3 linked regions of the Struthio camelus genome follow. The protein of the gene in region 3 interacts with the protein of the main gene of each other region in a biochemical or structural test. Links are inferred from orthologs where the notes say so. Each region holds a gene or a part of one and is shown on either strand. Other genes may lie near its edges. The genes, in order: RNF146, AXIN1 and TNKS.

Region 1 (7,658 bases), on a different chromosome or scaffold from region 3:
TTTTTATTCCTTTTGCTTTCTACAGGAGAAATTGTTGTAATTTGTGCTATTCTAGCATTCAGAAAGTCTACTTGTAAAATGAATAACATGCCCTCTAGTGTAAAAGAAGCTGCGTGCACAGCAATTACGATATTTCACGTGGGTATAACAAAAACTATAGGACTATACTTCCAATTTTTCTGTCTCCTTAAAGACTTGTATGTTCTACTGAGAGCTCACGCACAGGTCTGATATATAAAGTTTGGGGACTATGCTAACTTTCCAACAAGTGGTGGATGCTTTAAAGAGTTTCAGTAGAGAATTCCTCTTTTTAAATATCACCCTGAGCTACAGGCCTCACTAGTGTGCAATTTCCCAGGAAACATCAGTGCAGAACCACTCAGCAAGTTTTGCTATTGATTACAATAGGATCAGGGCTTGGAGTACAACAACTACTAGCTTTAATCGTCAGCTAGGAGTCTGATCAGTGCCCTAGCTGGATCAGGAGAGACAGCAGCACCTCTGTGCTCTACCAAAAGTGTTTTGATGAGCTTAGCTTCCCAGCAGTTACCATATACCATCTAGTGATACCAAAGGAAACCATAATTTGTAATTCATTAATCTTTAAATGAAACATATAGTAGGCATTTTGCATTCCTTTTACTAAAATAAAAGGTAGTCATATGTGCTATCTCCTATGACTAATATTTTCCATTTCTCAAGAATCTTGACATGTATTAGTTTTTGAAAGGATTCAGCTTCTGAAGATGTACGATTATATAAGAATATCAGCTTTAATTAAAGTTAAAACAAAGTTTCTGCCTTATAGCTAGAGAATTACATACAAAATTATAATCTTAGAGATGTAAAACTCAGGGACTAAATTTAAAGAAACCCAAAACCTAACCTTACTATTTTTTAAAACTTCAAGATTTTGAACATCCTGCATCATGTTTTTTTTAAATATTAAGTTAATAGTGTCTGTTGATGGGGAGGAAGTCAGAGAGAGAGAGAGAGAGAGAGAGAGAGAGAGAGATGATTCTGACAGCTGGGATAACGGCAGAAGACAATGTTATGCTATGTGGAATTTTGCTGCCACTAAATGAAAGCAAAACCATCAAGATTTTTTCCTGGGAATTTGCAGACAGAAAGGGTACTGATCCAATGAAAGCCACAGACCAAAAGAACTGAGGAACACAATTCACCCTCACCTCTTCTCTTTTCCCAGTTCTCCTCCTCAGCACTATTCAACTTTCTATTTGTAAAGCCAAATGGGATTTTCAGCACAGACCTAAACAGCACAGACCTCCGAAAACTGTTACACAGAAGTGTATTTGGCACTGGTTGCTACATATCTAGGTTATGTAAGCAAAATACAGACATTACATGAAGTACACTAGTTGGATTTTCATAGGCCGATTGTCGCCTTAACACTTTGTTTTCAACCTACAAATAGTGACTAGAAATCAGTTTAGCTACAACTCAGCAAGACTGTAAGTGTAGATGGATGAGGCAGACATGAATTTGCATAGTTTCAGTCAAAGTGAAAAACTACTTGTAAACCCAAGACTATACTTTGGACTCGTGTTGATCAACCTACAAGTCTGCCAGGCCCTTTTGCACATCACCAGAACTGCAATTGCAATTCAAAGCAAATGTAATTTTGTCTCACTGATAGCATCTTGGGCACTGCTTTTACACCATTTGCCAGTGAATGCTCTAGAGGGCCAGGACTGTCAGGTGCCAGGGCGAGCAAATGACAGCGATAGTCTAATATTGGCTTCACACAAGAGAATTCTCTGCCTAGCTGAACTGGCTGTGGGCCACTTTGTACTGTAAGCATGCTTAAAACTTGTAGGACAAGGGACAAGCTTGTGTCACTGGCTGTAAAAACTAAATATATAATTAAAAAATATTCTAGAAATTGTCCATGTATTAGTCAATCTTCAATGCCACGAAAAATAAAAAAAAAAAAATCACCTTAATGAAAATGCTAATGTAACATGGGGATTCCGTGTTAGGCAATAGCTTAGAGGAAAGGAAAGCACCGAGTGATAAGCAATAGCAGTTCATAAAGCAAATACGTTATTTAAACAAGACCAGGATTCGCTTTTAATGTAATGACAGATTCGGAGCTCAGTCTTCTACCCCTCCGCTGGCTGCTAGCGCAAAACAGCCAAAAGTACGTTTGGACCTCAGTGGCACATTGCCAACTTTACATCTTTCTCTGTTCAGCACAGAGGGTGCGTTGAAGGTGCAGAAATGCGGAATGGGGGGAATGACACCACACATCATACGCTCCTTCACTGCTAGTGCAACTTGGAGCAGTTCTGAGGTTCTCCTCACTAACTCCCAAATCACAGCAGAAGGAAACTGTTTTCTCCTGTCTCTCCTAAACTGTGGAAGTGCAGTGAGGATTGAGACCTTAGTGACTATAACACATTGTCATATCAGCAATTCTATACAGTATCACATACTTTTGAAGAAGCTGGAAAAATACTGGATAAATAGAGACACTGAAACACTGAAATATGGATCAACAGTTGTCCATTGTCAAAGTATCTTCAAAAAATTAGTGGTGGAACCTTAGAAATTTAACAGGGGAAGTGGTGTCTTTTAAGGATTAGTCTGCTCAGCCTTTACTTTTCCATCCACTGTACTCATAAATAATTTAGTGGCAAGCACCAGACATCAATTCCAGATTGATTACATTGTAGATAACGGCAAAAAAAAAAAAAAAAAAAAAAGAGAGAGTGCAGAACTGCAAAGCAAGCAGAAGCAGACAGATATAGCTGAGGTGGTTTCAGTTATAACAGACAGGTATAAACTAATACATGGTTGGAAAAACATCTTTGGAATACATGGGATGTTTTCATGCCAAAAGCAGTAGTACAGAAAAAGACGGGCAAAAAATACATATTCTGACTGAAATAGAAGTCAATAATAGCAATTGATAATAGCGCAGGTAAAATTTTAGGAGGGATAATCTTAACAGATCTTAAGCAGATCATTTTTGATCCCCTTATTCCAATCTATTCAACTAGGTACTTTTGTTTATCTCTTTAGGCCAGCAGCATGTAATGCACTTAACTCTTTGGTTACTGCCTTTGGCACAACGTGATATTTACTTTAACTACTATGCTTGCTCCATAATTCATGCAGCATAAAGTAAAATTTTGCATTCATTAGTGCACTTTCTCAAATTGACCTGCAGCTGCAGTAAGCTGTCATGAACCTATCAAAACGCACCTATGGATTTTCTTTTTTAAAAGTACAGTTTTCCGAGATGCTTCTTCTCTTATGAACCTGAATGCAATGAGAGTAGCTTTGCTTCAACTCTTTAGATCCCTTAAGAATCCAGACTTACTTTCCTTTTTTAGGTCAGATTCCAATTGAAACCAATGGGAATTTGACCTCAGTAACTTCAACAGGATCAAGGTCTGGCTAGTCAAAGGATTAAGCCTATTGTTGCTGAACAAACTCACTGCCAAAAGGTTTTATTTTCTTTTTTTTTAAACCTCTATTATTTGACTCAGCCTCACAAGGTCCTCCTTAAATAGCAGTACAGGTTGCCACATAAACGTGTCCTTGAATACAATTATGTCACTTCTGTTAAATGCAGTGCTAATTATAGACTCCTAAGAGTTTGGTGGTTTAAAAAATACACTTTTTTTTAGTATTCCAGATTAAATTTAGAATTTAATACTCTTAGATTTTTGATCTTTGTTATGTTCTCTGGTGTCTGTGACTTCTGGGAGTTGAAGTATCATCCAAAACCGCAGCCAAACACCACTTCCAGGTGTTCTACCAAGCTCTGACTACCTAAGTTCCCGCATTTTGTCAGTTCTGCCTCCGCGCGCAGCGACTGCTTTGACACACAGCCCCTGATCCCCTCAAAACGAATACCGTTCCAACTTAAAGGACGTGTGGATTATCTCCTCTCACCAAGGTTCAGTTGCTTGCTGCGGGCAACAATTCCTGAGGGATTATTTTTGCAGGCCAGCCCCTCGCACTTAGGCCCGGGCCAGGCCACAGAGGAGCACCCACCCGCGTCTAGCAGGTCCCGTGCTACCTGCCGCAGACCCTCGCCGCAGAGCAGCCGGCCCACGGCCCAGGGCGCTGCCTGCGGCGCAAATCCTGGGCCACTCGAGGCTGTGACTCGGCCACGCTGCCCGACCCCTGGTATTTCTGGGCAAACGAGCCGCACGGGCCGAGCTCACGGCCCGGGGAAGGCCAGCCGGCCCCTGCCCCGTCGGCTCCTTGGCCTCCCCGGCGAGCACAGCGCCCGCTCAGAGGGGCCTTCGGGTCCCACAACCCTGCACCAGCCCCTCCGCTCCCGCGTCTCCCCCGCTGCCGCGCCCCAGCCGCGACCCTCGGGCCTGCCGAGCGCACCGGGCCCGCACCTGCCCCGCCGGGCCCACCGGGCGCGGCCCCTGCCCAGGCCGGGGGCGGCGCGGCCGCCGCTGCCATGGCACCGCCGCGGGGGCGGGGCGGCGCCACGGCGTGGCGTCACGGGAGCGCGCCGCGCGTCCCCCCCCCCCCGCCTCACCGGGGCGCGCGGCGCGGCCCCTCCCCCCGCGGCGTCACAGTGGCGCGTTCGGCGCTTCCCTCTCTCCCCCCCCCCCCCGCGCGTGACGTCGGCGCGTCCCGCTCGCCCGGCGGCGGGGGCCGGAGGAGGCGGCAGGTGACGGCGGCGGCGCCTGGGAGCGGGCTGAGCGGCGCGAGCCGGCCCGGCGGGTGAGTCCGTGGCGGCGCCGCCGCGTTCCGACGCCAACGGCCGCGAGCGCGGAGGGAGGGGGAGCAACGGTCGCTCCGCCAGCCCCCCTCGCCCCGCGGCCGACCGCCCGGGGCGGGGGGCGGCGCTGCTCCCTCCTCCGCCGGCGGCTCTCCCCGCTCCGGCGAGGGAAAGGGCGGGCGGGGGGCGGACGTCGCGGCCTGCCCGCTTCCGTCGGCGGGCGGGCGCCGCCGCTGGACAAAAGGCCCGAGAGCGCGGCGGCGGCGCGGGGCCGGGGAGGGGGGGACCCGGCGGCGCTGAGGAGCCGGCCCCGCCCGCGGGGGAGGGGCGGCGGGCACGCCCGGGCCCGGGCCTGTGTTATTGTTTGGGCGAGAGCAGGAGCAGCGTCCGCCGCCTGCCCCCGCCCGCCGCCGGCGCGTCACGTGAGGGGTGTTTTGGGCCGCGGTGGCGCAGGGTGTCCAGAGCGGCCTCGTCCGCCCTGCCCGAGCCGGGCCTTGCGGCGGCGGCGGCGGCCGGCCGGGACACCGCGCGGATCCGCCTCCGCGCGGCAGACGGCGGCGCGCTGCGAGGAGCCGGGAGGTGGCCCCGCTGGGCGCCGCCGGGCTCGCCCCACCTGCTGCCCGTGCTGTAAGTCCCCGCCGTGTCCCCTAAGCCGCCGCTTCGCCGGGCTCTGGCGGCGAGCGGGGGGCCTCGTCCGGCGGACGCTTTTTGGCCTTAACTTTGCCCTCAGGGAGATGACAGTCTTAAATCTGTGTAAAATGAAGTGCTTGATGTGTGCAGCATCAGGGCCTCAATTCCCGGGTTTCATTTTGTTCAGTAACAAAATAGGTCAGGAACGCGCGCTCTAACTTTACGTGTTGCAGAATCCCTCGACCAGAAGAGCCATGTGTGGTGTTTTAAATAAATCTGTGGCATGTGTTCTCACTCTTCTTGCAAAATGTCTTTGCTCTAGCCGGGTTACTTTCATTACCGTAATGAGCTTTGTGAAACTAGAATAGAAATCATATGAATATTCTTAGGAGTACAGTAGGAAGCACATAAAAAGAGGTATGCAGTGGTTTTTAATGGAAGTGCTTTTGTTTCTTTGTGCTTGATGGTCTGGGCTCTCGTATTTGATTGCATCCTTTTAGAGTGTTTAAATGGGACATGAAAATAGGTCCAGCTCTTGCTGCAATACATATTGCCACCACTGAAGAATTATTACAAAATATTTTGTAAATAAGAGTTTTCATACAAACAGAGTAGCAGTGCGCATCAGAATGGTCGAAAACGTGGAATTTCACAATTAAAATAAAACCCGATAAAAGTTTGTGCGTGTGTGTCTCAGGATAACCCTTGTGTTATATGGACTAGAAATACTGTAGGATTTGTTATTGGTATTTGTAGTATGCAAGTATACATAGAAGAATTACAAGCAGGAGTAGGGAGTAGAGCTTTAAACTGTCTTGATCGTCAGATTTGTAATACTAAAAATACAGTCCTTCTGCATTGTTAGCTGCTCCCTGTGTTCTCAGTGGACTAACTAATTGTGTTTTTAGAGACACTTTCAGGACTAGTTTTATCAAAAACGAACTGTTGTAATAGTATTGAGTATGTAGTGAAGTCTGAATTTTGATTCAGTTGTTTCGAGTAATCTTAAATACTGAACTTTTGCAGAAACTTGCTTTATTGTCTTGTATGGTTAATATTGTGGTTCCTTTCCAGCTGAATTAAAGCACCAGTTTAAATTGCTGTAATGCAGAATTTGTGCTAAGTGAAAGAAAAAGTTGTGTTCTTTTTGTTTCCCTAAAAATATTCTGCATCAATTTAGATGTAATTGAATTGTCATTTACTTAGAGAGATGGAACTGCAGTATTTTTAAAGACTATTAAACAATGAACTCCTGTAATTGGTGGGGAAAACGTCTTTTTATTAGAATTGATTTCTGCCCCCCCCCCGCATGTTAATTGAGTCTAAAGCTGTTCTTGTACTTGCCTTCTGTTCCTGAAGCATCGATCAATTGAGACAAACCTATTTCTGCTTGGTTTTCATACAGGAATTTTGATACAATATCATTTTATTTCTGAGTGGAATCTATTAGATATATTGAAATATAATATATGATCAAAATTCAGAATCAGTGTTCCCGTTGCAGCATAGCAGGAGGAATTCATTTGGAATAAATACATGGCAATTTCATACCAAAACAGTTGACTGTTCTGCACTTTGATTTTTTTTTTTTTGTGATTCAGTTCCAAATGCGTATATAAGGTTTTTAATTAGCAGATCACAGGCTCCTTAAAATCTCATCTCATCAGTAATTCCTGAAGATTTTCTTTGACTAAGTTTCCGCAGATACAAAAAAGTGACTGGCCATGAATAGGAAACAGTGAGGTGGTTTATCTGTTGTGCTATCAAATGCCCAGTGACAGATAAAAAAAAAAAAAAATCTGATAGGCTCAGGAGCTTGAGCTGATAGTATATCGACAGTAACAGATTTTCAGATAGGAGGATGATTTCCCTTTTAGAAAACAACCATGTTTTTTCTTTCCTTCCACAGTATTTGTGTGGCTTGTGGTGACTTGTAAGGAGGAGGGCAGTATTCTGTGATATTCTTCCCCTGCTGTGCCCCCTGCCCCCTTGACATGTGAGTTAGGGAGCTTGCTGAAAATTTGAAGTGGTTATTTGCAGCAGCTTCTTTACTTTTCTGAAATAATGGTGCCGCTATTGAGTTTTCAAACTATGGGGAAAAGCGATGAATTTGTGATAACTACTGCAGAATCATCTGTACGATGTTGCTGATTTTATGAAGTCGTCTATCATTTGCTATAGGATTTAAATAACTGTCTTTGGCAAGCAAGAAGCTAGTTTTGTTTCACTTTACCAATATGTGCATTTTGGGTTTTTTAGAGGAGAAGGGGCTAGCTTATTTAAATAGAGCTAAGCTTTTATTTACAGAGAAAGT
Region 2 (7,746 bases), on a different chromosome or scaffold from region 3:
GTGCAACTGATTCCTGCTTGTCACGGCGTAGCGCATGCAGAAAGCAGCCTGCAGGCTTTCTTCCAAAGAAACAGCTGCAAAGGCTGTAGCAAGAGCTCTGGTGCAATGGAAGAGCGCGTCTGAGCACGCAGCACTGATTGTATGTGATGGAGAGGAAAGCGCTGCATCTGCTGTCTGCATCCAAAACTGGGGCCTTCATCAGAACAGGGCAGAGCTGGCTGCGGTTTCTAGGGACATGAGGACTGAGAGTGTGTAGCAGTCCTGAACGGGACCTGGTGGCAAAAGGTTTGGTAGCAAGTGTGAAAGTTGTTCTTGCCCAGCAACAAGCCTTCCACATGGCCATAACCTCCAGGGCTCTGCCTGCCCCTTCTTCTGTGAAGTGTGAGTAAAACCTCGTGCCTGCCCTGCAGCTGCAGTCAGTGCCTCAGAGAAGTACACTGGAGGAGTCAGCAAGCCATCCCCAGCAGGGATGGTAGAAGTCCCCAGATAGGGGGGAAACGTGGCTGGGAGGTGACTGGTGCAGAGCACATTCCTGCCAGATGGTGCTGTGGGGGTCACTGGCCATCCCCGTGCCATCCTCTGGCAGTAAATCAGCATCTGAGGATAAGGATAGTCAGAAAACAGGTACCTCACCTCCACCCCACGCAGCCCAGCCACGTGTCCTGTAGGTCGCATGGATGCAGCACCCGGCCGGCTCCAATGCCACTCCCCCTCTGGGGCTTGAACTGTCAGCCTCTGGCCAACAAAGTCCTGCCAGCATTTCTCTTGCTCCTCCCAGGTCCAGCCAGGCCCCGAGGAGCAGTAAGCAGTGGAGGCTACTGGGAGGGATGCCAGGAGCTCCAGGGCACGCGAGGGCCCAGCGTGCATGCTGAGTCCAGGTACCTCAGCCACGTGCACCCTGCTCTACCCAACCTTGTCACCCCCCGCTCGCCACTCTCTGCCCTCCTACCCCTTGCCTTTGGGAGTCTCTCCCAGTGACTTGCATGGAGAAACCTGGATTTGATTTCTCACGTGAACTCAGCTCTGGCCAGGAATTCTTGCTGGGCCTTTCTCCGAGAGACGAAAAGCCCTCTAATACCTGATAGTCTCTCACCCATGAAGCTGCTTCAGCACTGTAATCGGGGCACCTCTTAGGCTCCTTTGAACTAGCTAAAGAGGCTGCATTTCTCAGGCATCTCAGTGCAAAATGTTTTCTCTAGAGACTGGGATCCTGTCTAACTCTTCTCTGCCTGTGCTCTAATTTTTCAGCATCCTTTCTCAAACGCAGACACTGGAACAGGGCGAGTTTTGGGTTCCCATCTTACCAGTGTCCTAGACACCTAACACCATCCTGCTCCTCACCACTCCCCCACTTCTACATCCCAGGCTGGCTTGACCCCTTCTGCTGTAGCATCAACCCCCCATCTCGGTCAGGACTTCCCAAGGGGCGGCTACCCCGGCTCCTACACTTTCATCCGGTGCACAGATGTCTCTGAAACTCTTTTCTGAATCGTTCCTTTCCAAAGTGCAGTTTTCCGTTAGAAGCAGCAGCCTGCATTCTGTGCTCCTAAGAGGTATCATTTTGCATCTGTCCACATTCAAGCACACTTTATTTGCCTGCACTCAGCTCATGAAGTTTTCTACAGCTGGCTTGACCTCGTCGGTGTCTCCTGCCCCTCTCGTTTTCCTGGCTCCTGCATTTTTCTCAGCAGGGCTTTTTAATCTATTTCTAGACCATTGAGGAAAATGCTGAATAGCATTGGGCTTCACATCAAACTCTGCGGACACCCACTGAGAATGCTCCCATTCTGCAAGGATTCCCCATTGATGGCTGTCGGTTTGCCAGTTCCCAGTCCCTTTAAGGTGTCTCTCTTGATGTTGTATTGTGCTAATTTTTAATCAGAATACTATATGGATTAAGTCACATGCCTGAACAGAGTCCAGGTCTATTATTCCTGTGCCATAACCTTTATCAGCCGAACTTGTAATCTCTTCAAAGGATGACATCAGAGTTTGACAAGAGCTATTTTCCAGAAACTAGGCTGATTGCATTAATTATATTCCATCCTTTAATTCTTTACCAGCTGAATCCCACATCAGCTTTCCCATTATTATGCCTAGGTCAGTGTTGCACTGTTACATGTAAATCAGCTACTAGCATCATTCACATGAAAGAGCACAAGGAACGGCACCCTTCTGCCGGGCTCTCCTGCAGGGTAGGGAAGGGGAATACCCCCGGCTGCGGTACATTTTGGTGCGTTTCAGAACGCTGAAAAACACGTTGTACGTTCCAGAAAGCGTCCCCTGAAATGCATGAGCACCAAACACAAATGTGAGCAAGTGCTGAACGTACAGGTACACACAGCAGAATAATGCTGATTTTAATCAGCAGCTGATCCTTATCGGAAATCTTTTTGAGCCGCTTCTGGTTTCCAGAGGACTGTCTCGTGGCTTGTTTGCTTGTTTAGCTACCGGGATCACAGTGAGGGGTCTGCCTGACTCTGACTGTCTGTTCACTTTCCAGGGAAGAAACAGGCTTCGGATTTCCCTGTAGTAGGAGTTCCCTGAATTCTTGTTCAGTCTTTGCACGTGGTAGTCCCCTTCTTTTTCTTTTTGCAGCGTCACCCAGCCCTCCCACACATGAAAGCCTTACAGTCTAGGTGTTGGGGTATCCCTTCCAGCCAAGGGCTTTCTCTAATCAACCATTTCTGGGTAAGGCACCATCCCCTCCACCTTTTCTCAGGAAGAGTCTCCATGTTGTTTCACCTATTTCAGTCTATACAGTGCCACCTCTTGGTGAGTTCACTTATTTATGCTAGCTGCAGAATTGCGGGGTTCCTCAGAGAAACAGGAGACGCACGAGCAGTTTTGAAATCAGCTCTAGTTGTTTGGCCGGGCGAGAGCCACCCGCAGAGCAGTTATCTGCACTCCTCTATCCCTTGGCCCACAAACGCAGGTCTCTTCTAGGAAGACCTCAAATAAAAATTAACCATTAAATCCCACTGCCTAGCAGAAGAGGCCTAGGAGTAGTGTGGAGCCAGCCTTGAGGATCACTGCCCTTTCCTTTCCAAGATGAAGAGAGATCTTTTGTGGGATGTAGCTGCGCAGCAGAACAGCAGGTCTCTGAAACACGAGTCTCTCCTGGGCTGTGTTCTGGTCAGGATGCTTTAAAGAGCTCTCCTGGGCTTATTTTGTCCAGAAAAGCAGAAGAAAAAGGAGGTGTAATTCCATGCTCCTTTCCCACCTCCGGAGCTGCTCAGCCTTTGAGTAAGGCAGCAGTTCAGTTAGGTTCTCCTAGGCTTTCCCAAGGCAGCAGAGCCCATGGGCATGCCAGAGTCCCGGACCCCTCTCAGCTACCCACAGCGGGCAGAAGTTACGCACTGAGGCGTGCGTGATCCCCGAGGTCACCCTAGAGGCGCGGGCTGCTCTTGGTCTGGGATATCCAGAGGGCAAACCGCCCCACTGACCGTGTCAGCCTGTGTTCACGTGGGCCGTTCCCCAGCTGGGCCTTTGAGGTCTCCCACGCTTCCGCAGTCCCCGTCTCGCCCCCGAAGCAGCGTGGCCACAGGGCCTCAAGGAGCGCCGACCCTCGCGGCAGCTCAGCAGGGCTCACGAGGCCAAACCGCGGGGCCGCACCAGGCACGCCGGCCTCCCTTGTGCCAGCGTCCTTGTCCCCTTGAGCGCTGACGGGCGCCCAGATCACGTGCCCTCCTCTTACGGAAAGGTGCCGGGCGCTTCTCCTTGGATGCCTGCCGCTGGTCCCCGGAAACGACCGCGTGGTCGCTGCGGCTGGGTCTGCGGTGGCGGGGCCGGCGGGTCGCTAGGTCCCGCACCCGCCAGGCGACAGAAGGGACAGCAGGGCTCGGGGCCGGCGGGTCGCTAGGGCCTGGGCGACGGCGAGGCTCGGGGACGGCGGGCCACCAGGCCCCGCACGCGGCCCGGGCGACGGCGGGGACGGCGCGGCCGGTGCCCGGCGGGTGGCCAGGCCCCAGGCGCGCTCCGGGGAGGGAGCTCCGCGCCTCGCGTGCTGCCCGGTAGCGCGGTGGGCTGCGCGCCCGGGCGGCGGCCCCGCTCCCCCGCCGCGGCCGGCCCTGGCTCGGCCTCGCCGGGAGACGGCGGGCAGCAGCGCGGCCCTGTCACGGGCCCCCGCGGGGCCTGCGCCGGGGGCGGCCGCGGGCAGGCGGCGGGGCCGGGGCCGGGCGGCCTCGGGCGCGCTGCGGCCCCGGCGGCGGCGGCGGCGGCGGCGGCGGCGGCGGCGCCTCCCCCCGCGCCCGGCCGGGCCCGCCCCGCCCCCGCGCCCGCCCCCGCCTCCGCGGCCGGGCGGCGGAGCGCGGCGCGGGCTGGCGGCGCGGGCCCGGCCCGCAGTACCGGGCGGGGGCGCGGGGGGCGCGGCTGAGCCGCTCTCTCCCGGCGCTGCGAGGCAGCGGCGCAGGCGGAGCGGTGCGGGGCTCGCTGCTCTCCGTGTCGCCGCCAGAGCCAGCGGCCGCGGCCATGGGCGTCCCGGGCCGCCCGCTTTGTGCCGCCGCCGCCGCCCCGCCGCCGCCGCCGCCGCCGCCCGCCGCCCCGGGCCGCCGCCGCCGCTGCTGAGCCGCATGGGCCGGGCCCCGCGCTGCCGCCGCCGCCGCTGCTCCGTGCGGGTGAGTGAGCGGAGGGGAGGCGGCCCCGAGCCCAGGCCCTGCGCCGAGGCCGCGCCGGGAGGCCGCCGCCGAGCCGGCGCTAGGCCGCCAGGGCGCGGGGGGCGGGCGCTGCTGCCGGCGGCCGCGGGGCCGGGCCGGGCCGGGCCGCGCGGGGCGGGAGCGGGAGCGGGAGCGGCGGCGGGGGCGCGGGCCGCCCGGGCGGGCAGGCCGGCCCCGCCGCTCGCCTGCCCCGAAGTTGCCCGGCGGCGGCCGGTGCCGCGCTGCGGGGCGGGTTCGCACCGGGCCGCTCGGGGCAGAGCCCTGTCAGCCTCGGAGCTTGAATCCCGGCCCGCGGCGAGCGGCTCGCTGCCCACGGGCGGGCTGAGCCGCGCGCGAGCCGCCGGCAGCCCCCGAGCGGGGCAACTTGGGGCGGGGGCGGCGGGATCAAGGCGGCCGGGGGGCGCCGGCTCGCTCCTCCCCCCCCCCCGCCCGCCCGCCGCGCACGTCGGGGCCGAGCCGCGGGCCCGGCGGCTGCAACGCGAGAATCGCGCTGCGCCCCGGGGGCAGCGGCCGGGGCCCGGCGGCCGCCTCGTCCGCCGCGGCGGCCGCTCCCCGCCCGGCCCCGACGGGGGGGCGAGGGCCAGCGATGGAGCCGCCCTCGCAACACAATGACCAAAATGGCTCGTGCGCCCGTCCCCGAGCGGGGCTCTGCGGCCCTGGCGGCCGGGGCACCCTCCTGGGCGAGAGCGGCGCGACCGCGGCGCTCGCCGCCTCGGACCCCGGGCGAAGATCGCGGCGAAACGCGCCACGCAAAGCAGCCGCCCGGCTCGCCGGTGCCCGCCCGTCCGTCCCGCGCGCCTCGGGCCCGGGTGCGAGGAGCGGTGGCCGCTCTTGGCGCTGCCGCCCGTTTCCATGGGTCTGCTGGGTCCTGGGTGATTTTGCTGGGTTTCGGTGACGCGCCGGTTGGCTGTAAGGACAGCCCGCCGTGGCGGCTCGTAGGTGGTGTTTTTCAGCTCGGCCGAGGAGAGGAACCGGGGGAGACAAAAACGGCCACGCATCCAAAAGATGCGTTCATATGGGTGGGGTGAGCTCGGAGAGAGAGGCTGAGTTGAAGCGCGTCTTCCCTGCTATGTTTGCACGTGCGATTGAGTGAATGCAGTGCAAGGAGCAGTTTGGCAGGCAGCTGGAGCTTTGCAGTACGCGAGGGCTTCGAGGCTGACGGCGTTCTGCACAACAAAACTTCTGCTGCTGCCTTTAAATAATTAAGTGACTTTGCCTAGCCGCGAAAGTAGCTGTCCAGGGATCGTCCTCCTCTGCTTTTCCCTCCTTCCCCGCACCTTCCATCCTCCATCTTGACTTGTTACTCTTCTTTAAAAACGTCACGACTGATCAGGTTGCCTTCTTGAGATGCTTTTCCCATCTTCGTTTGATGACCTGAAGTTTTCCCAGGCTTACAGCACGCGATGTTTGTTAGCTTAAATGAACCCTTGCTACCTGGCCTCTCTCTGTGAAGCGCAGTGCCAGAACTGAAATCCTGTAGTAACATGCCCGTTACATGCAAGAATGTAGTTCAGATGCCCAAAATATTGGGGTCATTGGTGCGTTTGGATTCCCCTAGCACTAGATAAGACCGTGCAGCGCGCCTCTAAAAGGCAAGAATTTCGGGGGAATTTCACATTTCACATGTCACCTGATTGTATGGGCAGCCACCTGCGCTTGGCCAAGTTGTGGGCTCACTTTCAGTACTGATTGGATATTCTTTCAGAGTATTTTTCCCAGGCCTTAAACTCCTGCTTGGGGAATGAGGAAGTACTAAATCTGTAGGCAGATAAAAGCATATTACCTTGGTGTGACTTACTACATCTGCTAGTTAGACTTACTCTATTTAATCTGCAGGTAAAGTTAGTGTCCGGTTTAGGAGGCTGCATGTGTCCTTTTTCTGCGTGCGGGCTGTTTGCCAGTTGGTGCTCCAAGCGTAGATCTCTTGGAAACGGGGACTGCCAAATCCCGGAGTCCTGTAAAACCACCTGTATTTTGAAGTTGGCTGCTCTTAGTGTAGTACCGGCTGTATCATTTATCCTGAATGCTGGAACTAAAGTTTTGGAATGATCTTTAACAGTTATTTCTACAGGTAGGAAGGGAGTACCTGCTTTGGTCCCGATTTTGCTCTCTCTGAAATGGCTCAGAGCTTTGCCATTGGCTTTATTAAATCTTCTTTTTCAGCACAGTAGTGCAAAGCAAAATTAGTGGTCTGTAAGCTTAGAGTGTTTGTTTGCAGTAATACTTGATTTTTTTCTCATCTATTTCAGCAGAACAAAGGTGTTCACATTGGAGCTACAAACATTGGTGTTTTGAGATTTCAGCTCTTCTCCTACGGTTCCTGTGCGAGCAAGTGCCATAAAAATGAACGTCCAAGGGAAAGGCTTCCCTTTGGACCTCGGAGGAAGCTTCACTGAAGATGCTCCGAGGCCACCAGTTCCTGGTGAGGAAGGTGAACTCGTGTCCACAGATCCAAGGCCAATTAGCCATGGTTTCTACTCCAGTAAAAGTGATGTCGTTAGAAATGAGATGTCCACAGCAACACCAAGGCGCTCGGATTTGGATTTGGGGTATGAGCCAGAGGGGAGCGCTTCGCCAACTCCACCCTACTTGAAATGGGCCGAGTCGCTGCATTCCTTGCTGGATGATCAAGACGGTATCAATCTCTTCAGGACTTTCCTGAAACAGGAGGACTGTGCAGATCTGCTGGACTTCTGGTTTGCCTGCAGCGGCTTCAGGAAGCTGGAGCCCTGCATGTCTAACGAGGAAAAAAGACTCAAACTGGCAAAAGCCATTTACAAAAAATACATCCTCGACAACAATGGAATTGTGTCCCGGCAGATCAAACCAGCCACAAAAAGCTTCATAAAAGACTGTGTCATGAAACTACAGATTGACCCCGACATGTTTGACCAGGCCCAAACTGAGATTCAGTGCATGATAGAAGACAATACCTACCCTTTATTCCTTAAGTCGGATATTTATTTGGAATACACAAGGACAGGTGGGGAAAGTCCAAAAATTTATAGCGATCCGAGCTCAGGGTCTGGGACAGGGAAAGGGCTACCTGGTTATCTGCCTACTCTGAATGAGGACGAGGAGTGGAAATGTG
Region 3 (7,441 bases):
TCAGCTCATCGATGTGGGTGTCGCTGAGCAACTTCTGGAGCAGCACAGTGGCATCCCGCTGGCAGAAGACGTTGAGGATATCGATGAGCCGCGGCAGGTTGTGGAACACGTACTCCCGCAGTGTGAGGTGCTCCTCAAAGTAGAGCAGCTTCCCACTCTCGTGGAGGTAGGACAGGGCACTCTGGAGCCGATCCTCCGTCAGGCCCGCCTGCAAGCCCAGCCGGGCAGAGTCCCACCAGCTGAGCCACAGCTGCTGAGCCTGCGGCTGGAAATGCAGCTCCTCCAGCACTTGCCAGGATTTGGGCAACACTCGGTGCAGGTTTGGGAAGATGTCCCGGTGCTCGGCCACTGAGAGGAGTTTGTCCCGCAAGCGACGCACCTGGCAACGGTCCCGGCAGCTGAAGGGCAGCACCGGGGAGAGAATCTGTGGGCGGTGGTTCAGAAGATACTGAAACTGGGCTTTCTTCCGCCGCAAGTTCTTGTCCGAGACCCCGTAGAAGGTGGCGTGCGGGCTGGAGCAGCGCAGGTCAAAGTCCTGTCCCAGAGCCTCATCCACCTGCTGGACCAAGCTCTGGAGTCCCTCAGCATCCCGTTTCTCCTGCAGAGCAATCTGGTGATGGATGTCCAGGCACTTCTCCTCCAGCTCCCGCTCGGCGCAGAGGTCGGCATGGGTTCCCACCATGCACACCACAGCATGGGGCACCTTAGAACCAAGCCAGTGCAAGAAGTAGCCCACAGAGCGGTAGAAGTGCTGAGGGACGTAGGCACTCAAATTCACTACCAGCACATACAAGGCCCCGGGGGAGAGGAAGAAAGATTGGATCACATCGTAGCTCGGGTCCCCCGCTAGCTCATACACAATGAATGTCAGACCCCTCTCAGCATCCGCTGTCCAGTCCATCACCTCAATGCCCTTGCTGCCTCCTGGCAGTCCCGCTCCTGATGGCGCTTGGAAGGCGTCCGGTGGCAGTGATGGCGCCGGGCACAGTGTTTCCCCCTGCACTCTGCGAGAAGGCGCATGGGGGACATCCCGCCGCTCAACAGGGAGCTGCTCCAGCTGCTGCATGGCAGGTACCCGCGTTGAGGAGGTGTCCGGAGGCTGCGGGAAGGGGCAGCACCCAACCGGCACTCTACCAGCATCTCGCTGCTGACCAGGGTAGCCTCTGGGCTGGGCACTCCCTGACTCCGGACCTCCCGCGTCCTCCCTCTGCCTGTCCTCCTCCATGAGGCACCGTCTCAGCAAGGTCTTGCCCGCATCCTTCAGGCCCATGAGGACCAGCTTGAGGCGGGGCTTGAGGGCAGGCTGGGAGTTGGCCAGCTCCTGCTGGTAGGCCGCGATGTAAGGGATGCCCTTCATGCACACCTCATACGGGGGCTGGATGAGGGGGTTGTCCTTGATCTTCCACAGGGTGACGCGGGACAGTTGCCCAAAGCCCTCGGGCAGGATGGCGATCTGGTTGCCTTGCAGCACCAGCTCCTCCAGGCTGTGGAGGAGCACGATGGAGTCAGGCAGGTAGCGGATGCGGTTGTTGTCCAGCCAGAGGGTGCGGAGCTGGCGGAGCTGACAGAGGCCAGGGGGCAGCAGGGTGAGCTGGTTGCGGCTCAGGTAGAGCTCCTCCAGGCCGGGCAGGGCCAGCACGGCGGCAGGGAACTCCCCCAAAAGGTTGGAGGAGAGGTTCAGCATCTTGAGGCGCTGCAGGCTGCCAAAGCCGGCGGGCAGAGCCCGCAGCCGGTTGCCGTCCAGCATGAGGCTCTCGAGGGCACCCAGCTGGCAGAGGCCCTCGGGCAGGGTCGCCAGCCCGGTGCCGCTCAGCCAGAGGATCTTGAGATGGCGGAGGGCGGCGATGCCCTCGGGCAGAGCCCCGAGGTGGCGGTTGCCGGAGCAGTCGAGCTCCTCGAGGGCGGCCAGCTCCAGCAGCGGGGCAGGGAAGGCGGGCAGCAGGTTGTGGTCGACGTCGAGGGTGCGGAGGTGCCGCAGGCGGCCCAGCCCCTCGGGCAGGCGGCGCAGGCGGTTGAAGCTGAGGTCGAGCTCCTCGAGGCGGCCCAGCTCGGCCAGGCGCGGCGGCAGGCCGGGCCCCTCGGCGCCCAGCTCGTTGTGGCTGAGGCTGAGCTTGCGCAGGCCCCGCAGCCCCGCCAGCGCCGCGCCGTCGCCCAGGCCCCGCAGCCGGTTGTGGCTGAGGTCCAGCTCGGCCAGGCGGCCCAGGTGGCGCAGGGCGGCGGCGGGCAGGCGGCGCAGCCGGTTGCGCCGCAGGCTCAGCGCCCGCAGCCCGCCCAGGGCGGCGCCCACCTCCTCGGGCAGCTCCTCCAGCCCGCGCCCGCTCAGGTTCAGCGCCTCCAGCTCGCCCAGCGCTGCCGCCGCCGCGGCGGGAGGGGGGCGGGCGGCGGGAGGAGGCGGCGGCCCCCCCGGCGGCCCCGCGTCCGGCTCGGGCTCGGGCTCGCCGCCGCCGCCGCCGCGCAGCTTCCGCGCGAGCAGGGCGGCGGCACCGCCGCGCCACGGCCGCGCCGCCTCCGCCGGCTCCGTCTGCGCCATGGCCGCGCCGCGCCCTGCCCTACCTGCCGCCGCCGCTCGCCATGGGCGCGGCGCCGCCGCCGCCGCCGCGGCGGGCTGCGGGCTCCCGCCGCGCCGCTGCCGGCCGCGCACGTAGCCGCCGCCGCCGGGGGCGGGGCCCCGCCGCGCTCTCGCTCCGCCCCTCTCCCGCCCTCGCCCCGCCTCCTTCTCGCCCCGCCTCCTTCTCGCCCCGCCCCCTTCTCGCCCCGCCCACCCCGCCCCCTTCTCGCCCCGCCCACCCCGCCCCCTTCTCGCCCCGCCCCCTCCCGGCCCCGCTTTCTCCGGGCCGGGCTTGTGCTTGAGCGACGGGTCGGTGCTGGTGCAAGCGGTGCCGGAGCCCGAAAACGTTCGGGGATCACCCCAGACCCTTCCCCTCGTTCTCAGCAGCTGAAGCGAAGGCTGTCAAACGGCCAAGAGTGCGTGGCATTGGGGCAGGGGGGGAAAAAGGAGGGAAGAAACGGATCCCATTGCTGCGGATTGCGTTATACACCCAGAATTGCGCTCGGAGTTACTAATTTTAGATGATGGCCCTGCAAAGGCCTGTTGACGGGGTTTTTAATTATTCATCTGAAGCCTGAGGTTCCCTCGCTTTACTGAGCCAGGCAGCTGCATTAGTAATAAGATTTCTATCTGCAGCGCAGCCCTCCGGGGGCCGGAGAAAGACCTCGAGTTACCAAAGGTGGTGTAAAGCCCGATTCTGGGCTTTGCTTGCTGAAAGCCCCCGCCCGCTATTCCCGTACCACTTCAGACCTGCTCGTTACTCAGAGGACCTCCCAGGCCCTAACGAGCCCAGAGCTCATGAGGTCTTTGCCAAGTACTCACTCTCCAGGCCGCTAGTTGGTTTCTCTTTGGAAGGCGGCTTTGGGGTAGGGGACGAGGAGGACTGACTCGTTCTGCTCAAAATCTCAGACCAAACGTCTTTTCGACAGCAATGCTGGATTCCCGCCCTGCTGCCCAGGTGGGAATGTGTCAGGCTGGATCCTCCAGCCCTTGGCGGGGGGGGAGCATGCAAGGCGCAGGCATGCCAGGGCTGAGGGTGAACGTGCAAGGGGTCAAGGCTGGGGGTGAGTGTGCAAGGAGTCAAGGCCTGGATGAGTGTGCGAGGCGCAGGCATGCCAGGACTGGAGGTGAATGTGCAAGGGGTCAAGGCTGGGGGTGCGCAAGGAAGCAGGTGGGCCAGGGCTGGGGGTGAGTGTGCAAGGGTCAAGGCCTGGATGAGCGTGCAAGAAGTCAAGGTTGGGGGTGAGTGTGCGAAGAGGCAGGTGGGCCAGGGCTGGGCAATGTGCGAGGGCCGCGCGTGCAGCGGGGGGGGGAGGGGGGCGCGCGCAGCCAGGCACCCCCCCCCCCTTCGCCCCCCGGCGGCGCGTGCCGGCAGCCGCGCGCCCCGAGCTGCTCGGAAGGCGGGCGCTAGCCGCGGCCCCGGCAGGGGGTGGAGCCCGCGAAAGCCCCGCCCCGCCCCAGCACCCCTGTCGTCACGTCCGGGCGCCGCCCGCGGGGATTGGCTGGGGGGGGGGGCGGAAGCGTGGGCGGGCGTTGCCGCCGTTGCCGCAGTGACGAGGGCTGAGAGGGAGGCGGGGAGGGGGGCGGTAGAGGAAGGGCGAAAAATGGCGGCGCCGCGTCGCTCCCAGCACCACCATCACCACCACCACCTGCCGCCGCCGCCTGGGCCGGCCTCGCCGCCGGCCGCCGCCGCCTCGCCGCCGCGCAGCCCTAGCTTGGCGCCCGCCGAGCTCGCCCCCGCCGCGCAGCGGCACAGCCTGGCCGGCCCTGAGGGCGAGGCGCCCTCCGAGGCCGAGCGGCCTCCAGCCCCGGAGAGCGCGGAGGGCGCGGGCGCCGCCGCCGCCCCGGGCCCGCCGCCGGGCTCGGCCAGCAGCTCCGGCAGCTCGTCGTCGTCCTCCTCCTCCTCGTCGGCGTCGTCGTCGGCCGCGTCGAGCCCGGCGGTGGAGAGCCCCGAGGCGGCGGGCCTGGGGGCGGCGAGTGGCGCCTTCCGCGAGCTGCTGGAGGCCTGCCGCAATGGGGACGTGACGCGCGTGAAGCGCCTGGTGGACACGGGCAACGTGAACGCCAAAGACATGGCGGGCCGCAAGTCCACGCCGCTCCACTTCGCTGCCGGTGAGTGCCGGGGCCGCTGGGCGAGGCGAGGGCGCCGGGGTCGGCCCGGCCTCCCGTTCCCGGCGGAGCAGGGAGAGCCGGTGCCTCGGCGTCCTGCACCGGCGCCTCCCGCGGCCCCTCTCGCACCCACCTGCTGGGTGGGCGCAGCAGGGAGCGCATCTCCAGCGTCCCGGGGGGTCGCGGGGGCGCAAGCTCGTTCCTGGGAGAGGAGGAGCGCGAGGGCGCTTTTCCTGGTGCCGTTTCACTAATGCTGGGTGCGGGAGTAGATGGCTGTTAAACCCCTCTCTCTCCTTCTCCCCCGTCCCCAAAACGGGCAGAGGATCATCCCTTTGGGTGAGAAGAGGGGGAAAGGAGAGCCTGTGGGGGCATGAGGGAAGCCGTATAATCTAAAAGTACTAAAATAACTCCCTGTATTGGCCCCACAAGTTGCTGACTTCAGCATGTGGGCTTAGCAAGTGAGCAACTGATGTCACTATGTTTCTGGAACTCAGGGCAGAGTTGGTTTGGATTTAAGGTTTTCACTTGTATTGCAGTAGCTCTTGAAAGTCAAGGAACCCTGTGATGCAGGTAGGCTTACTAGGAATCAAAGTCAATGCATTTTTGTGTTTTGACTGGTGTGTGTGTGTGTGTGTTTTTTGGTTTTGCTTTTTTTCCTGTTATCTCAGTGTAGCTACGGATTGATCTCTGCCTCTGTTGTGGTTTGAGCGGGCTGGGGAAAGAGGTGAAGTGGAACAGCTGAACTCAGTGGGAGGTTACAGCTGTGTCCAGGAGACAATATGCCTCTCAGTGTGGGGAAGAGATGATATTGTGACCAGAAATAGTCACTGTCATAAAATAAGTCAAAAGTGAGATTCAGTGACTGACCTCAATTGCAAATGAACATTGTCTCCTACCAAGCATAGCTACTACCCCTTAGTATAGTCTATAAAGAGAGCGTTTTGTGGGGGGCTGGCCATGGCTAGAGGCACAGGGGGAGTGAAGCCCGTGATAACAGTAAAATGGGGAAAATAGTTGAAGTCAGGACTTGCACGGTTGCTAGGTCCGTGGTCAGATTGAAGTCTTTCTGACAAATGCCACAATGATACAGATTGCCTTGATACCATCCAGCGGGGCACGGATCTTGTCTGAGCTTGTAAGTAGGCCAGTGGCTATGGGATGCCCTGACCTACTCCTGCTGATGTGCCATGCTTACTGGCCTGCTCCTGGCTGACAGAGTGGTTGCTATTTTAATTTTCCTGACTTGGCACCACAAGCTGGAGCTCTTTAATATTGACAGTAGAGTTCTGGATCCCGTTCTACAACTCGGAACATGCTCCAGTAACCCTTGTCAGATAAGCAGCACAATAGCCAATATGAAAGAGAAACAGAAGTTGCTGAAGCCTTTACTCAGGCTTTATTCTATGTTCAATATTTGAATGCTGGTGTATGGCTCTAAAGCACCACATGGAAATCAGTTACAAAAATAAGCATTTATCTGACACAGCGTTGCTTGGGACTCCAGGTAGTGCTGTTCAGTTTATCTCTGTGTTTGTGTAGGTCTGTTGTCATTTCCAAAGTCAAAGTGGCATCTCGTGGTGGCTCTATGGGAAGTACTGGTCTTGAGCCATTTGCATCTCCTCTAATCCCTGAGCTCTACCAATAAATACTGAAATGTGCAGGCCTACTTAATTTCAGTGAGCCCTGGGAGGTGATGCTGGCACAACTGCATGCATGTGCACAAAGTGCTTAATGTTTTGGAGGCCTCATCTCACATCAGCTCACTTTGGATTCCAGCTTAAAATTAGACCCCGCTTCTTACCCTTAAGTGCTAAAATTTCAAGTTATAACTTCAGTGGTAGACTAGTACAAACTGTAGTGCTGGTCCTGTAGTGGTACAATATTAATTTCACTTAAAACCTGAACTTTGGTTAGAGAAGGAGCTGACAAAACCTAAGGCTTTGAAAGGCAAGAGTGTTGGTGCGATTTTACTGTAATAGCAATGGAAGATGCTTCCTTGTAGCATGAGGAACACAGCAGGTGAATTTCTTATACCTAATAAGACTGTTTGTTCTCTATTTTTGTAGATTTAAAGACTTTCCTTAGCTGCCAAGCGTATTCTCTCAGAAATTAATGAAGCATGTATCTGACTGAAATGAGTTTGACATCTAATAGCATTAGATAGATTTCTTATTAGAGAAAGACTGAGGTCCTAAATTTTGAAAAGGCCTGTAAACAAGTTTGAATGCAGCTGGTCTTAGGCAGTATGTAGTTGCAAGTGATGCAATACATTGATAGGATCTCCTTCCCCTTTGTGGACAAAAGGAGAAATAAAACCCCTTTGCTTACAAGCATAGGAGTCTGCTATGTGTATTAAGCAGTGTTATGTGTAATAGCACAATTTTATGAGTCATAGCTAACTTTACAAATTGTTTGGCCCCTCTTATAAGAGGAACAGGAGTTGAAGAATGCAGTGTGCCAATGTTTTAGAGTTTAACTGTTTCTCTCACGTCTCTTGAAGCTTCAACTTTTTTAAGGGAACAGCAGAGAGAGTTTCACTTCTGTTCTTGTGGTTTGTAATAGAGGAATTCTTCTAATCGCAGGCAAAGCTTCATTTTTCTAATTGTTGAGGTAGTCAGATTCAGTTTTTTTTCCTGGGTACTTCACTTTTCCCTTGCTCAGTTCTGTTTTCTCAGATATCCTTTTTGGCAGCAATGCCAGGCAGTTAATTCACTTTTCATGTAACAGGGGCGAGAGGGAGGACAACTTCAGTTCTTTCTTATAAAGAGTACTAAGTTCATGTTT

Evidence for each region.
Region 1: the proteins of TNKS (region 3) and RNF146 form a complex in vitro, tested with the Homo sapiens proteins (3 studies listed by BioGRID and IntAct, with this or other methods). The link is inferred for Struthio camelus from reciprocal best matches to the Homo sapiens genes TNKS and RNF146.
Region 2: the proteins of TNKS (region 3) and AXIN1 form a complex in vitro, tested with the Homo sapiens proteins (2 studies listed by BioGRID). The link is inferred for Struthio camelus from reciprocal best matches to the Homo sapiens genes TNKS and AXIN1.

What each region holds. Positions count from the first base shown.
Region 1 is NC_090944.1:69,253,289-69,260,946, forward strand, and holds the start of RNF146 (E3 ubiquitin-protein ligase RNF146), read left to right. Parts: upstream 1-4,548; 5' UTR 4,549-4,716; intron 4,717-5,139; exon of another isoform or gene 5,140-5,341; intron 5,342-7,658. UniProt on the Homo sapiens protein: E3 ubiquitin-protein ligase that specifically binds poly-ADP-ribosylated (PARsylated) proteins and mediates their ubiquitination and subsequent degradation. May regulate many important biological processes, such as cell survival and DNA damage response.
Region 2 is NC_090956.1:19,077,280-19,085,025, reverse strand, and holds the start of AXIN1 (axin-1), read left to right. Parts: upstream 1-4,530; 5' UTR 4,531-4,616; intron 4,617-6,904; exon of another isoform or gene 6,905-6,907; 5' UTR 6,908-6,998; coding exon 6,999-7,746. UniProt on the Homo sapiens protein: Component of the beta-catenin destruction complex required for regulating CTNNB1 levels through phosphorylation and ubiquitination, and modulating Wnt-signaling.
Region 3 is NC_090945.1:3,094,337-3,101,777, forward strand, and holds the start of TNKS (poly [ADP-ribose] polymerase tankyrase-1), read left to right. Parts: upstream 1-4,118; 5' UTR 4,119-4,152; coding exon 4,153-4,660; intron 4,661-7,441. Other genes in the region: MFHAS1 (malignant fibrous histiocytoma-amplified sequence 1), read right to left, coding at 1-2,530.